2 linked regions of the Drosophila melanogaster genome follow. The protein of the gene in region 2 purifies or fractionates together with the protein of the main gene of each other region. This does not show direct contact. Each region holds a gene or a part of one and is shown on either strand. Other genes may lie near its edges. The genes, in order: FLASH and Sym.

What was found.
Region 1: the proteins of Sym (region 2) and FLASH purify together in Drosophila melanogaster (affinity purification with western blotting; one study listed by BioGRID). This does not show direct contact.

The regions. Positions count from the first base shown.
Region 1 is NT_033778.4:13,204,898-13,211,068, forward strand, and holds FLASH (FLICE-associated huge protein), read left to right. Parts: upstream 1-1,847; 5' UTR 1,848-2,094; intron 2,095-2,164; 5' UTR 2,165-2,194; coding exon 2,195-2,452; intron 2,453-2,508; coding exon 2,509-2,699; intron 2,700-2,753; coding exon 2,754-3,296; intron 3,297-3,355; coding exon 3,356-4,898; 3' UTR 4,899-4,987; coding exon of another isoform or gene 4,988-5,061; 3' UTR 5,062-5,164; coding exon of another isoform or gene 5,165-5,300; 3' UTR 5,301-5,358; coding exon of another isoform or gene 5,359-5,510; 3' UTR 5,511-5,561; downstream 5,562-6,171. Other genes in the region: Orc3 (origin recognition complex subunit 3), read right to left, coding at 1-221, 285-311; CG34315 (uncharacterized protein), read right to left, coding at 493-503, 579-819, 879-1,028, 1,101-1,226, 1,283-1,427, 1,484-1,611; CG34312 (uncharacterized protein), read right to left, coding at 4,988-5,061, 5,165-5,300, 5,359-5,510, 5,562-5,670; CG30058 (uncharacterized protein), read right to left, coding at 5,732-5,802, 5,944-6,082, 6,138-6,171.
Region 2 is NT_033777.3:5,737,633-5,744,046, forward strand, and holds Sym (symplekin), read right to left. Parts: upstream 4,845-6,414; 5' UTR 4,497-4,844; coding exon 4,410-4,496; intron 4,340-4,409; coding exon 4,146-4,339; intron 4,085-4,145; coding exon 1,962-4,084; intron 1,886-1,961; coding exon 963-1,885; intron 857-962; coding exon 686-856; 3' UTR 546-685; downstream 1-545. Other genes in the region: CG1236 (uncharacterized protein), read left to right, coding at 1-276; Madm (MLF1-adaptor molecule), read left to right, coding at 5,353-6,414. UniProt on the Drosophila melanogaster protein: Component of a protein complex required for cotranscriptional processing of 3'-ends of polyadenylated and histone pre-mRNA. Involved in germline stem cell transit amplification, differentiation and mitosis-to-meiosis transition.

The sequences.
Region 1 (6,171 bases), on a different chromosome or scaffold from region 2:
ACAAAGTCCACCAGTTGCTCCAGAGTGCGGGCATAGCTGCGGTGCTGCAGGTCGGCAATGTGATCGTTTATCTGATTCCAGGCCTTGCGATATTCCTCATAGAAGGGCTGCTGCACTACCTCTTTGCCAAGAAGACTACTGGATTCTGCGGCAGGACGCTTCCGTTTGCTGGCCGCCTTTTTCCCTGCTCTCGTAGCGCCATTTTTGTAGACAAAACAGCCCTGCAGACAACAAAAATAAGTAGTTAAACATCTATGTCCAGTTTGGAAGCCGAAGCCACTCACCTTGGACACTGAAATGGTGGGATCCATCGCTGGCTTTGCACTGCGGCCCGATGTCGTGGAGTCTTTAAGTCGCCGGGTTGCGTTTATTTATTTATTTGTTTAGGTCAGCTCTGTGCCAATTAAAGTTTCTTCACCGGTAGGAACGCGAAATGAAATCAGCTGGCTGTTGTGTTTGGCGCCAAACGGGCGGCAGTGTTGGCTAACGACTTTAGGGGGTATCTTTGAAAACAAGTGTGAAAAGTATAAATTAATTGAATATTTCATCTAACATGAACTAATAATAAGAAATCATACCCTTCGTGCTCGTACGCCACCATTTTGGTGGATACGAATTCGTCGTAGTTTCTGTGAACAGCACCAAGTTTTTTGAACGTTCGCCATCGCAACGATCCGACCATTTTGGGGCCACTTGGAATGAGAAAAGATAGAGGAGCAGGAAATCGAGGAACAGTATGATGGCTGCCAGGAAGTAGTCCTTCGTGCGCATCTCGGCGAACCTTCCACCGTTTATAATCTGCGCGTGATACATGACAAACTGTAAGGAGGAAACTAAATGACAGAAACTAATTCAAAAATGTATGACTCAGTACTAACCATCAAGATGCTGATCACTATAAAGCAACGGGCGATTATAAACGAGTATGCGACATTAGCCACGATGTAGAGCATCACGAAGTATATGGCGCCGATAATGGAAACCACTGCAAGCACAAATAGCACCACAACATCCAAAGTAAGATCCAGCTTAAGGGGATAACAATAAAAATGTGAAGCTTCAGATTTGAATCAAATGGCTTTCATGTGGACTCTTCTTACCGGAAGAAAGGAACCACAGACAATAAAAAGCGCCAATGCTACGGTCCATATAAGGAAGCTGAAGAGAAACTGATACTTGTAGTGGCGGGCAACCAGCGGTGCAATCCCCAGTACAATGCATTCAAACTGGAAAGAATAAGTTCATACTGCCACCCAGGTTATGTTTCACATTGTAGACTTACAATTAGAAAGGCAAACAACCAGTTTACCATTTTATTAAAGCGCAGTACCTCGAAAAATATGAAAAGTACGAGGAGTATCAGGCCTATTCCAAAAAAAAGGCAGCTCAACCAATGGTACGAAGTAAAAAATTCCCTTAGAAAATTTCTGAAAATTAAGAAAAAGTGCAGTGAGGATGAAGTAATGTGAAAATACATACGTACACAAAGCGGAAAGTGGCCCATTGCAACAGCGCAAGGATCAGGAATATCGCGGTTAGTAGGTAAGTGATCAGAGCGAACTTTCTTCTTTCCTTCTTGTAGTAAGAACTTTTTTCCGGAATGTCTGCCATTGTGTAGTGTTTCTCGAGTATTATTGTTTGTATTGTGATGTTTTTTTTTAACGAATTTAAGTGTACAGTAATACGAAATGGGAACTAGATTGATTTTAAAATTATATTCTTGGGAAAACACGTAAGTGCATAATAAAATTTTTAAAATATTCGTTTTGGCGCCAAATGTTGCTGCTGGATATCGATATCCACTATCAGGGTTGCCACATTTTCAGCCGGTCAGCTGTTGCTTCCGATAATCAACTGCATCTTCTGTTATCGATTGGCGGCAACACGGGATTTTCTAACAATATTAAATAGAATAATAATAATAATTACATTTATACAAATACACGGCAGGGAAACAAATTGCACGCCAGTTTGGAGGAAATGCTCAGGACAGTGACCATTGAGCTTTAGTGGAACTTTTATTCCCTGAAACAAAAATCAAGAACATTGAAATTCTTTTGTGTTTCGAATTTTGATCAATTTATGACTGAACAGGTAATCAATAAAGTAGCTCCATTAAAAAACAGTAACTCTAACAATTCATTTTATGTATCCTTGTTTAAAGGGCAGCCAAGAAGAAACGTAAGCGATTGGTATGGAAACGCCTGCATATGCCACGAAATCTGGCGGAGAACTGGTGCTGCCCGAAGCTCTGGAGGACTTGATGGATTTGGAAGACCAGGACGCGGGCGGGATGAAGTCCAACGTTAAGGATAAATCCATGGATTTGGATATCTATCACGATTTGTACGATATAGAGCCTGCAGGTTCAAAGAAGCCTGACCAAATGGACAGATCCCTTGAACTGGACATCTACGATGATTTGGACGACTTTCAGAAGGCCGAAGATCGTGTAAGTTGTGCAGGAATACGTCCTTTCAGCAGAGTTACCCATTTACCATCTCACAGAATACCAAGGAGCTACAGGCATGGGAAGCCAAATACGAAAAGGCACTGGCCGAAATTGAAGCGCTAAAGGTTGAGAATAAGGCACTTGGCAAGAAGATAAAAACCATGGAGGTTAATCTACAGAATCTACTGGACACAGCTAAGGCGGAGGTAAAGAGAAAAGAGACACTGATTGCCGAGCTGCGAAACGAGTAAGTTAGCATATTGACTCCCTGCTTCTTAACAAACAACACATTGTTCAACAGAAAGGACGATGTATGCTTCCGACGAAAACGAGCACGGGCGTTTGACGTACCAGGTGCAAGGGAACCCGAAAGTAAGCGTCCGAAAGAATTTCAATCTACACCAATCGATGTCAGGAAATATCCGGAAACGAATAGAAATCCGTTCAAAACGGCTGCAAAGGACGCCGCTAAGGATGATGCTAGGAAGATGATGACCAAAAAAGATGACACAACGAAAGTCGTATCAAAAGATGTTGAAAGAGGCGTAAAATCCAAGGAGGATAATAAGATGGCGACCAATAAAGATGATGACAAGAAGTCATCCTCAAAGGATGATGCTTGGAAATCTAGGACAAGAGAAGACGCCAAGAAATCGGTCCAAAGAAGCAAGTCTCCCAGGCCGGAACACTCAAAGACCACCGATCGGAAATCTACTGCACAGGCTCGTCGTCCAGATCCACATCGCAGCCGGAGTCCAAAACATAATTCCCGGCGAGATCATCACAGGAATCAAGAAAGCAGTTCCCGGCACGCCAAACGGCGAAGCCAATCCGCATCGCCCAGGTCAGTAAAGCAGAGGGACATAAGTTACATTTGTTGATAGCACCATCTGATTTTTGTAGCAAGATACAATTGCCAAGAGAAAAAGCAAATGCCATCATCACACTTACTGACGATGAAACAAATGACCAACGCAGCAAGAGCCCAGTCCCCGTGACCGTCAAACTCGTAACTGAATCTCAACCGGCTGAAAAAGTCGTTTCCAACCGAAGGGATGCTGCTTTAGAAACCAATGCAAATTCCTCAAAGGAATCAAAAGTAGAGACGAAGGATATTACTCAACCGACAAATGGTTTAATTGCTGAACCTTGTATTCCAAAACATGAGATTATTCCGGGGTTAAGCTTAATTAACCCAGAATCGGCGGATTTTTCTAAAAATGAGATCAAGTTAGATCCTGTAATCTTACAGGATCGTACAGAAGACTCTGGCCACCAACTTTTAAATAAGGAGCCTATTCCCAAAGTTGTAGTACTTGAAAAATGTAAAAACATTTTAGCTGAAGATTGCCCAGCTGATGAGCAACCCCTGGACAAATTCAAGGATGGAAAAGAATCTGAAGAGACACAGGCAAAGTTAGACAAAAAAGAGCCTTTTGCAGTTGAAACTGCTGTTGAAACTCCTAGCAAAGAAGAAAGCAACGACAACATAGTATTATCAAAGAATACGACGTCTCAAGCTGATGTGTGTTCTCAGCATGATGAGAATGATGAAGCAGAGATCCGAGAACCGATGGATCAAGTTAACTCCGTGGTCGAGTCCGACTTGGGAGTAAGGATTATTGAGGATATTCGGTTGCCCAAGATGGCGAATATCGACCATTTTGCTGTAAAGGTCGACAACCATGGTGAAGCGCCAGCAGCTGTCACAGATTCCGCTTTAAATCAAGAGAACCTAGCCACACAGGACCAAAAGATTTGCGCAGAGATGAAAGATCCAACTATTTTTACCACCTCGGACGAAACTCCAATAAAGTCTGCTACTATATTATACGCCAAGCCCGATTCAACAAAACTGGATCACAGCGATGAACATGACGAGGTTATCCTGGAAACTGCCATTGACATGCTGAAGAAGGAGCAGGATGCAGCGAGCACCGCAGAATCCACATATCCGAAACTGCGGATCGCAGAAGATGCCATTGAGATGGCACTAGAGCAATTGCACCAGCAGTCGCCGGACGAAACTGTGGTGACCTCAACGTCGAATAGAGCGCCGCAGACGCCAAAAAGCCTCATCACAATACTCACCCAGACTCCAAAACAGGCTGATCCACTAAGATCCCAAACGAAATCGAAGACTGTGTCGCCGATGGCGACGCCTAAGAAGACGGCCACGGAGAAGACCCCAGTGAAGAAGAGAAAGGTCAACATGGATAGTTCGCCGCAGGTGCCAGCCCATGATGTTACCATCGACGAAACTTTGGGTGCCTGCAGTCTGCAGGACGAGAGCTCAACTGTGACCAAACGCTGCTCCCTGGGCCACACAGACTACCAGTACGAACAGATAAAGGACGAGGTCATTTTAAGAGTGAAACGACGGGGTCGCCGACGAAAGCCAACACCTATGGAAATACCTACGACTGCTGCGGACAAACCAATTTGAAATAAAATTGTGTAATCGATTTGAAGTGTCCACTTCGAATTTATTTATATATATTACATTGCTGCACCCAATGATTGGGTGAATAGGTGTTAATTCACGCGATCAGGACTTTCGATCATCTTGAACCATGAGTAGGCAACGATCCAAAAGTAAATGGCTACACCTGTGGGTTTTGAATTATTATTAATAATAAGGTACTTAAAATAAGCAAACTATTCTTAATTCTGGATAGTGTGAAAATATATCAAATATTTTGCAAGCTTTACCAAATCCGCCGATGATAAGGAATAAGGTCAAAATCACAGGGCCAATTGCGACGCAAACATAAATGAAAAACATAAGATCATAAACAATGCGAATTGCGCCTGTTATTAGATAGCCAATGACCAGTTTTTTGGATTTCTGGAAAAGACGAGAGTCTTAATTAATAGATTGCTTCTAACTAGAAATGAATACTTACCACCCAAACAGAGCCAATAACTGAGACACAAAACACTAGGTGGGCAAAGTGGATGACAAGTGTGATGATCCAAACGTAGTAGGTGGAAGTGTAGCTGACCTCAAACGTTCCCATATCATGATCAATCCACCAGTCCTCATAATAGGCTAGATCTGTGCGACACTTTATATTCAAATCGATTGAGATCATATTAAAACACATACACTTAGTTTCCAAAACAACTGCCGCCGTCACAATCATATCTATAAGGGCGATAATCAAGGCTCCCCATCTTAGCTCCCAGCAACAGCACTTCCTAATGGTACACTTCATTCTAATTTAACTTGGTGTCTCGGGATCATTTTCGTATGGGTAATGTTGTCGTCTGAGTGATCTATATGTCCGCTGAGCCTCCAAGCTTCTTGTACCACGAGAAGACAACGATCCACAAGCAGACTGCAATAACTGTGGGTCGCGATAAGAAGTGCGTTAATTTGAAATACTTTAATACATACATTTAATTAGGTATTATATGCATTCAATCGAAATGAAAGTCAGGGCCATCTTGTGTATTTTTTTTGTAAATATATATATGAAACAACTTACTTAGGCCAATAATGATGAAAATCAGTCCCGGGATATCGTGGTCGCCCAATTTAATGCACACGAAAATGAAAAAAATGATATCAATAATTACGCGAATTATTGCGGTTATCAAATAGGGAGCTACGAGATTTTTATTTCGCTAAAAAAAGGGTTTTAAATATACAAGGAAATTACTAACAACAATGACTACTTACCACACAAAGAGAAACAAGAACCAAAATGATGCAA
Region 2 (6,414 bases):
TGCATTCTTATCAACACGGCGCGTGGTGGCGTTGTAGACCAGAAGGCCCTGTACGAGGCACTGAAAACCAAACGAATTCTAGCAGCTGGTCTGGATGTAACGACGCCGGAGCCATTGCCAATCGACGATCCTCTTCTGAAACTGGATAATGTGGTTATTCTCCCCCACATTGGCAGCGCTGACATCGAAACGCGCAAGGAAATGTCCCGGATTACAGCCAGAAATATTCTTGCTGCCTTAGCTGGCGATAAAATGGTAGCCGAAGTAGAGCTGTAAGCCGTGTAATCTCAGCGTACAATGAATTTTTTCCACATCTTTTTAAAAACATCTGTTTGTAATTATGTACAATGTTCTAATTAAATATTTCGTACTTTCAAAGGTATTTTAAAGGTACTGAAATTATTGAAACACTTGTATTACGCCGATGACAGTGCTCGCAATGAACTGATCCGTAAATGGTCGTGGCCACTCAGAATCGAAATTTTTGTGTTATTTGCGTGGGGTATACTCCCAATCTTTTGATCATTAACAAACAAAATTATATTCCTTTATAATGTATGTGGGTGCGGTCAAGACCTTGGTTTTATGTATTATCGCCTAGAACAGTGAGTTTATAAAATTATAGACCTTATCTTATTAAGTAATTTAAAAATGTGTATGAGCAAACAAAACAATTAAACTGCAACTAGTCCTCGCCAGGCGGCAGGGGCTGGTTAAGATCACTGCCTATGGGGGGAGGAACTGGTAGTGGTACTAGAGACGTCAGTACGGGCACTGTGGAAATGACACTAATTTCTGATGGATCCGGTGCCTCTTTTTTAATATGCTCGGCACTGATGTAACCGCCGCTTTCGTCCTGAAAAGAAGATACTCGTATGTAGTAGCTGAACGTCTTCGATATTGGTTCGGTATTTGAGTTACTATTATTTCATTTAAGACTAAATCAAAAAATGCATAGTTACCGTCACGAACACATCAACTGATTTCCCGGAGATGATGTCCAGAACCTGCTGGGTTATACCACTACCATTCATTGGTTCATCCTGCATGCTCTCCGCGTATTCCGACAATGCTGGCCTTAAATCGGGGCACTGCTGCAGTGCGTCCACCAGCTGGGCGGGAGGAAGGTGCAGCAGGATCGGCATTGACTGCGGTTTCAGGCGCTGCACGGTCTTTAAAAAGCCCTCCCAGATTACTTTTTGCCGCCAGACCTGCTTGATTATCAGACGCTGCAACAAGTTCATTACAAAGTTTGCCAGACGCGGGTACAGAGTTAGACTCTGAATTGTTGTGCGCATCATCAGAGTAGGCAGCGGAGTAACCTCTACAAGCTGTTGCAGCACAGCCATAAGTACCTCCTGTGTGTACAGATCTCTTTCAGCCAAACATAGGGATGTAGCCTTAACGATGGCTTTAATATCGCAGACACTCGTATCGATGGTGTGCAAAGCCACGAGAATATCAGTGGGGGTCATGGCCATCGTCTGATGCGCGAATTCGGCACCGATACCAAGCAATCGATTGAAAACCTCCTTGACCACAGCGGGATTAAGTTTAATCAGCTTCGGCAGAACGGAAATTAGCTCGGATCGGGTTAAGCCACTTAGCACGGGTATCATCACGCGCACATCCTTGACCTTGTTCTGGTAGAGATCCCGAACCCGCCGAACCAATTCTTCATGGGGGGATGGCACTCGCTCTGTCAGTATGTAAATTATACGGATCACTAAGGTCTCCATACCCTTAGGACAATCCTCGATTAGTTGCAGCAACGTCGGGCTTTCTACACCCATCTTTTTTATGGGAATATCTAGACTGCGCAAGATCGTGCGTTTCAGTTCGGCAGATGTAGAAACAAACACTTGACAAATTTGCTGTAAGTAAACTATCAGGGGAAGAGAATATTAAGAAATTGATTTAATAGTTTTTTTCTTCTTTAATACGGGACAGCAACAACTTACCTTCCGGTTTATAGGGCAGCAGGGTAAAGGCCAAACCAAAGCACACCTTGGTAGTGTCTTCCCGCCAATCAGGCTCCTCGGTTGGTCGACCAAAGTCCTGCGAGAAAACAGCTGCCGGCGGAGATTCCTGTTCGATAAATTTAAGCCACTCCAGAGCGAATTCGTCTATTCGAGCCGGTAGTATTTTGTGTACATGGTACAGACTGACCAGGTGGGCCTGTGCCAGATCCCGCAGATCCAGTCGCTCATGCACAGAAAAGTTGAGCAACACTCTAACGAAACGATTCTTTCGCGGCGGCCTAAGCACTGCAAGGTCCTTGATTAGCTCCAGGCCGTGCTGGGAGAACTCGTCGTCCAGGCTTAATTGAACTAGATGTCCAATTGAGACTTCCGGAAGAATGGGTGCTTCTAGATATACTCGACGAATCAAAATAATCTTATCCTTGTGATCGCAACGCTCTCCAATGCCGAAGATAAGCTTATTCAGCAACTCGTTGTAGGCGTGATCGGGTCTGTTCTCTGTCTTAACATAAGTGTGCCTTGTAAATCCTTGCAGCAGAGAGTACTCCTCAAAGAGCCAGGAAAATGCCAAATCGATACGCTGTTTTATATCCTCCAGGATGAACTCCATGATGCCGTAACGTACGTTATCGGGAAAGGTGGCAGCAATCACGGTGACCAGCTTACGGCGCTTTGATGACACTCCTCCCTTAATGCATTGCCGCTCCGAGTTGAGGATGCGACGCACTGCATCAGTTAGGAACTTCTCTTTTAAGTTGCGTGGCAGAGGCTTGGTGATCTCCTGCAGCTTCAGCGTCTTGGCGCGCTCCTTCATCTTTTCAATAACAGTCTGCTCACCCTTGGCGCGCTCCATGGTCTCGCGCAGCTTCTTGGTTGCTTCCTCCTTACGCTGAAACTCTTCCTCACTCAGTTTTTGAACAGCATCCTCGTCCACTTCCATTGCAGTTAGTGTTGATTCAATCGCTTGCACTTTCTTAACCCGCATTGGCGGCTCTCGACTGAAGGTTGCGGCACCTGGGCCTAGGCGCTTTTCAGATAGTTGTTCGCCAAAAAATCTGGAGATATTGGTTACCTGCTGCTGAATAGACATTTCGCGAATGGGTGTATATTCCTGAAGGAACTTTTGTGGCACCTCAGTGGGCAGACTGGGCAGGAACTCCAGCACCAGGGTCACAACAGTTTCAGGATTACGGAAATGCTCTGCCAGAAACTTTTCGTTAACTCGAGTAGACTTCTGTTTCTGTCGTTCCAATTCCTCAGTGTCTAGCTCCATTTCTCGCTGCTGCTGATCCTGCTGCTCACAGGCCAAGCGCGCACGCTTTGCAAGACTTTGCGCAGCATTTTCGAGGATGCGTTTTTGTCTACGAGCCATTTCCTGTTTGTCCATTTTGGGAATAAGCTTCTGGATCTCATTTGTGGAGGACCCCAGATCAACTAACATTCCTCGGATAGTGCTTGCAAACTCAAAGGCACCGCGGTTCTTCAGCAATGTCTGCAACTGCATCTTAAGGCTCTTACGCACGGAGCTTACTTGCGAGTCAGTGAGGGTGGGCGGCAGGTTGGCATTCAGCTGCTTAAAGGCTTCCACCACGGCGCCCATGAAAATGGGTCGCATTTTGGCAATTGTACACAAGCTGCTTGTGCAGGCAATCAAGTTCACTGAGGAAATATGCGTTGTTCCGTGGAACTGAAGCAAGATATCTAAAATATTGTTGCCCTCCTCTTGCAACTTTTCACGGCGGAATAGTGTGCAGTGATCGGGGACATCTGCCAGCGAGAAGTCTCCATCTCGTTTCAGACTGTCCTCGTCAGCAAAGCTCTGCAGAACCACGACGCCCTCCAAGAACTTAATGGCATTTGTACGTATGCCGTCGTTTTCATTGTCGATCATGTCCAGTATTTGCGCCTTGATTAAGCTGAGGATGTTCCACGCCTGCTCCGCACTGTCGCCGGGCTCCATGAGGCTGCACAAGTACTGCAATCCATTCTTGTAGATGCTACCGCAGGCTTGGATCACTCTTTTGATTACCTGAGCCGAGTTATCCCTAAGCAGCATAGACACGACGTTAATGACATGGGGCAGTAACTCCACCTTCACTTTACTGGGATGGAAAATATAAATCGTTTCAGCAAGAAGTTAGATCCTTTGATGGAAATCCTTACCAAACTTGCTCTACGAAGGCGACTACCTGCTTGCGAACCTCCATGTTTGAGTCGTGGGCCAAAGACAGCACGGACTCCAGGAATTCTTCGGCCAGCTCCGCGCACGATCCAAGCACAGTCTCCTGCACCTTAGCCAGCAGTTCGCACTTTGTCGAAGGCGATGCGATGACCAGCTCATTGCACCAATCGACCACCTGAATGGGAAAATATATGGTACAATACAGCAGTCCGGACTGTCTTGTCTGATTAAGATTTGTGTTCTACCTTAGCTCTTGCCGTAGCTGTCTTCTCGTCTGTGAACAGATTGGCCGTCTCCGAGACAAACTGGCTGCGTCCAATTATGCTATCCATGTTTGGTTAATTGATGCAGATTTTGCCTAAATCTGCGATACTTCGGATATTTTTAAGAGCTGCCGGCACGGATGGCAAGGTGTTATCGGTACCATTGAGAAACTATCGAAAACGGTTCTATGATGTTGGTAATTCTGCATATTTCCGGACCATCTAGCTATTTTTTGCCAGCTCTTAATGTGTTCAAAAGAAAAAGAATATTTTACTAAAAACTTGGCTTATAATCAAATGAACCGCCTGCAAACTAATTTTCCTTGCTCGTTACCGTATAAAAAATTAATAAATCACATAAATTAAGCCATTTTTGGCATATCTCAGCTTAACGCGTTATTATCGATGAGCATGCCGCAGTTGCGCTGGCCGAGCGATATGCGGGGGTGACTATCGATAAGCCAGAGGCATCGATTTGCTCACATTTCTTGGGTGTTTTAGCGTGAAAAAAACGCCTAAATAAACGAATCGGCAGCGTGTCAGGCCAGAAAGTGCAACAAACGGATCGCAGTTCGCGACGCAGTCGAGGATTGGAACAGAAGACGCCGTCGAAGGTGCCGAAAAACGTCCCAGCAACCGCCAGCCGTCGCAGCGGAGTGTTTACTGGGCGAGGGGTGCAGTGGATGAGCTGTGTGGGCGCGTGCGTGTGTATGTGTGCGCCAGTGAGTGGGGCAGAGGCAGCGGCAGAGGAGCAGCGGCGGATGTAGCTCGTTGCCCGGACCCCGTAGTGGATACCACGAAAAGCTAGCGCAAACGTAGGCAGTCCAACAAAGAAAATAAACACTGGAAACCGAAGACGACGAGGCCTTCTGGAACTGGAACAGCACTGCTCAACAGCCGCAGCCGCGTCGGTGACCGCACCCTAATGTCAAATAGCCAAGCGAATGCCGGCATCAGCGGTAGCACGGTAGCGGATGAACCCATCCAGCACCACCCTTCCTTGGCGGCCGGCCCCGTAAGTGCATCCTGCCCAGCAGCGACCCCGCCGTCGCAGTCGACGCAGCAGCCCCCGCCGCACATAGTTAGTGCCTCAACAGCTGATGCGGGCAGCAGCGCTGCGGTCGGCGTCGGCGTCGTAGCTGGCAGCGAGGGCGTCAATCTGGACTCGTCGCCACGCGAGTCCGGGGACGATTCGGAGGATGAGAGCGAGATTTTGGAGGAGTCGCCATGTGGACGCTGGCTGAAGCGACGCGAGGAGGTGGATCAGCGTGACGTACCCGGTATTGACTGCGTCCATCTGGCCATGGACACCGAGGAGGGCGTAGAGGTCGTGTGGAATGAGGTGCAATATGCCAGCCTACAGGAGCTGAAGTCGCAGGAGGAGAAGATGCGGCAGGTGTTCGACAATCTGCTGCAGCTGGACCACCAAAACATTGTCAAGTTCCACCGCTACTGGACGGACACGCAGCAGGCCGAGCGACCCAGGGTGGTCTTTATCACCGAGTACATGTCGAGCGGATCGCTGAAACAGTTCCTCAAGCGCACCAAGCGCAACGCCAAGCGGCTACCGCTGGAGTCGTGGCGCCGGTGGTGCACTCAGATTTTGTCCGCACTCAGCTATTTGCATTCCTGCTCGCCGCCCATCATCCACGGCAATTTAACCTGTGATAGCATCTTCATCCAGCACAACGGCCTGGTCAAGATCGGCTCGGTGGTCCCGGACGCGGTCCACTACAGCGTCCGGCGCGGCCGAGAGCGGGAGCGTGAACGCGAACGAGGCGCCCACTACTTCCAGGCGCCCGAGTACGGCGCCGCCGACCAGTTGACCGCCGCCCTCGACATCTACGCCTTCGGGATGTGTGCCCTGGAGATGGCCGCCCTGGAAATCCAGCCCAGTAACAGCGAGTCAACTGCCATCAACGAGGAGACCATCCAGCGCACAATCTTTAGCCTGGAAAACGATCTGCAGCGCGACCTGATACGAAAG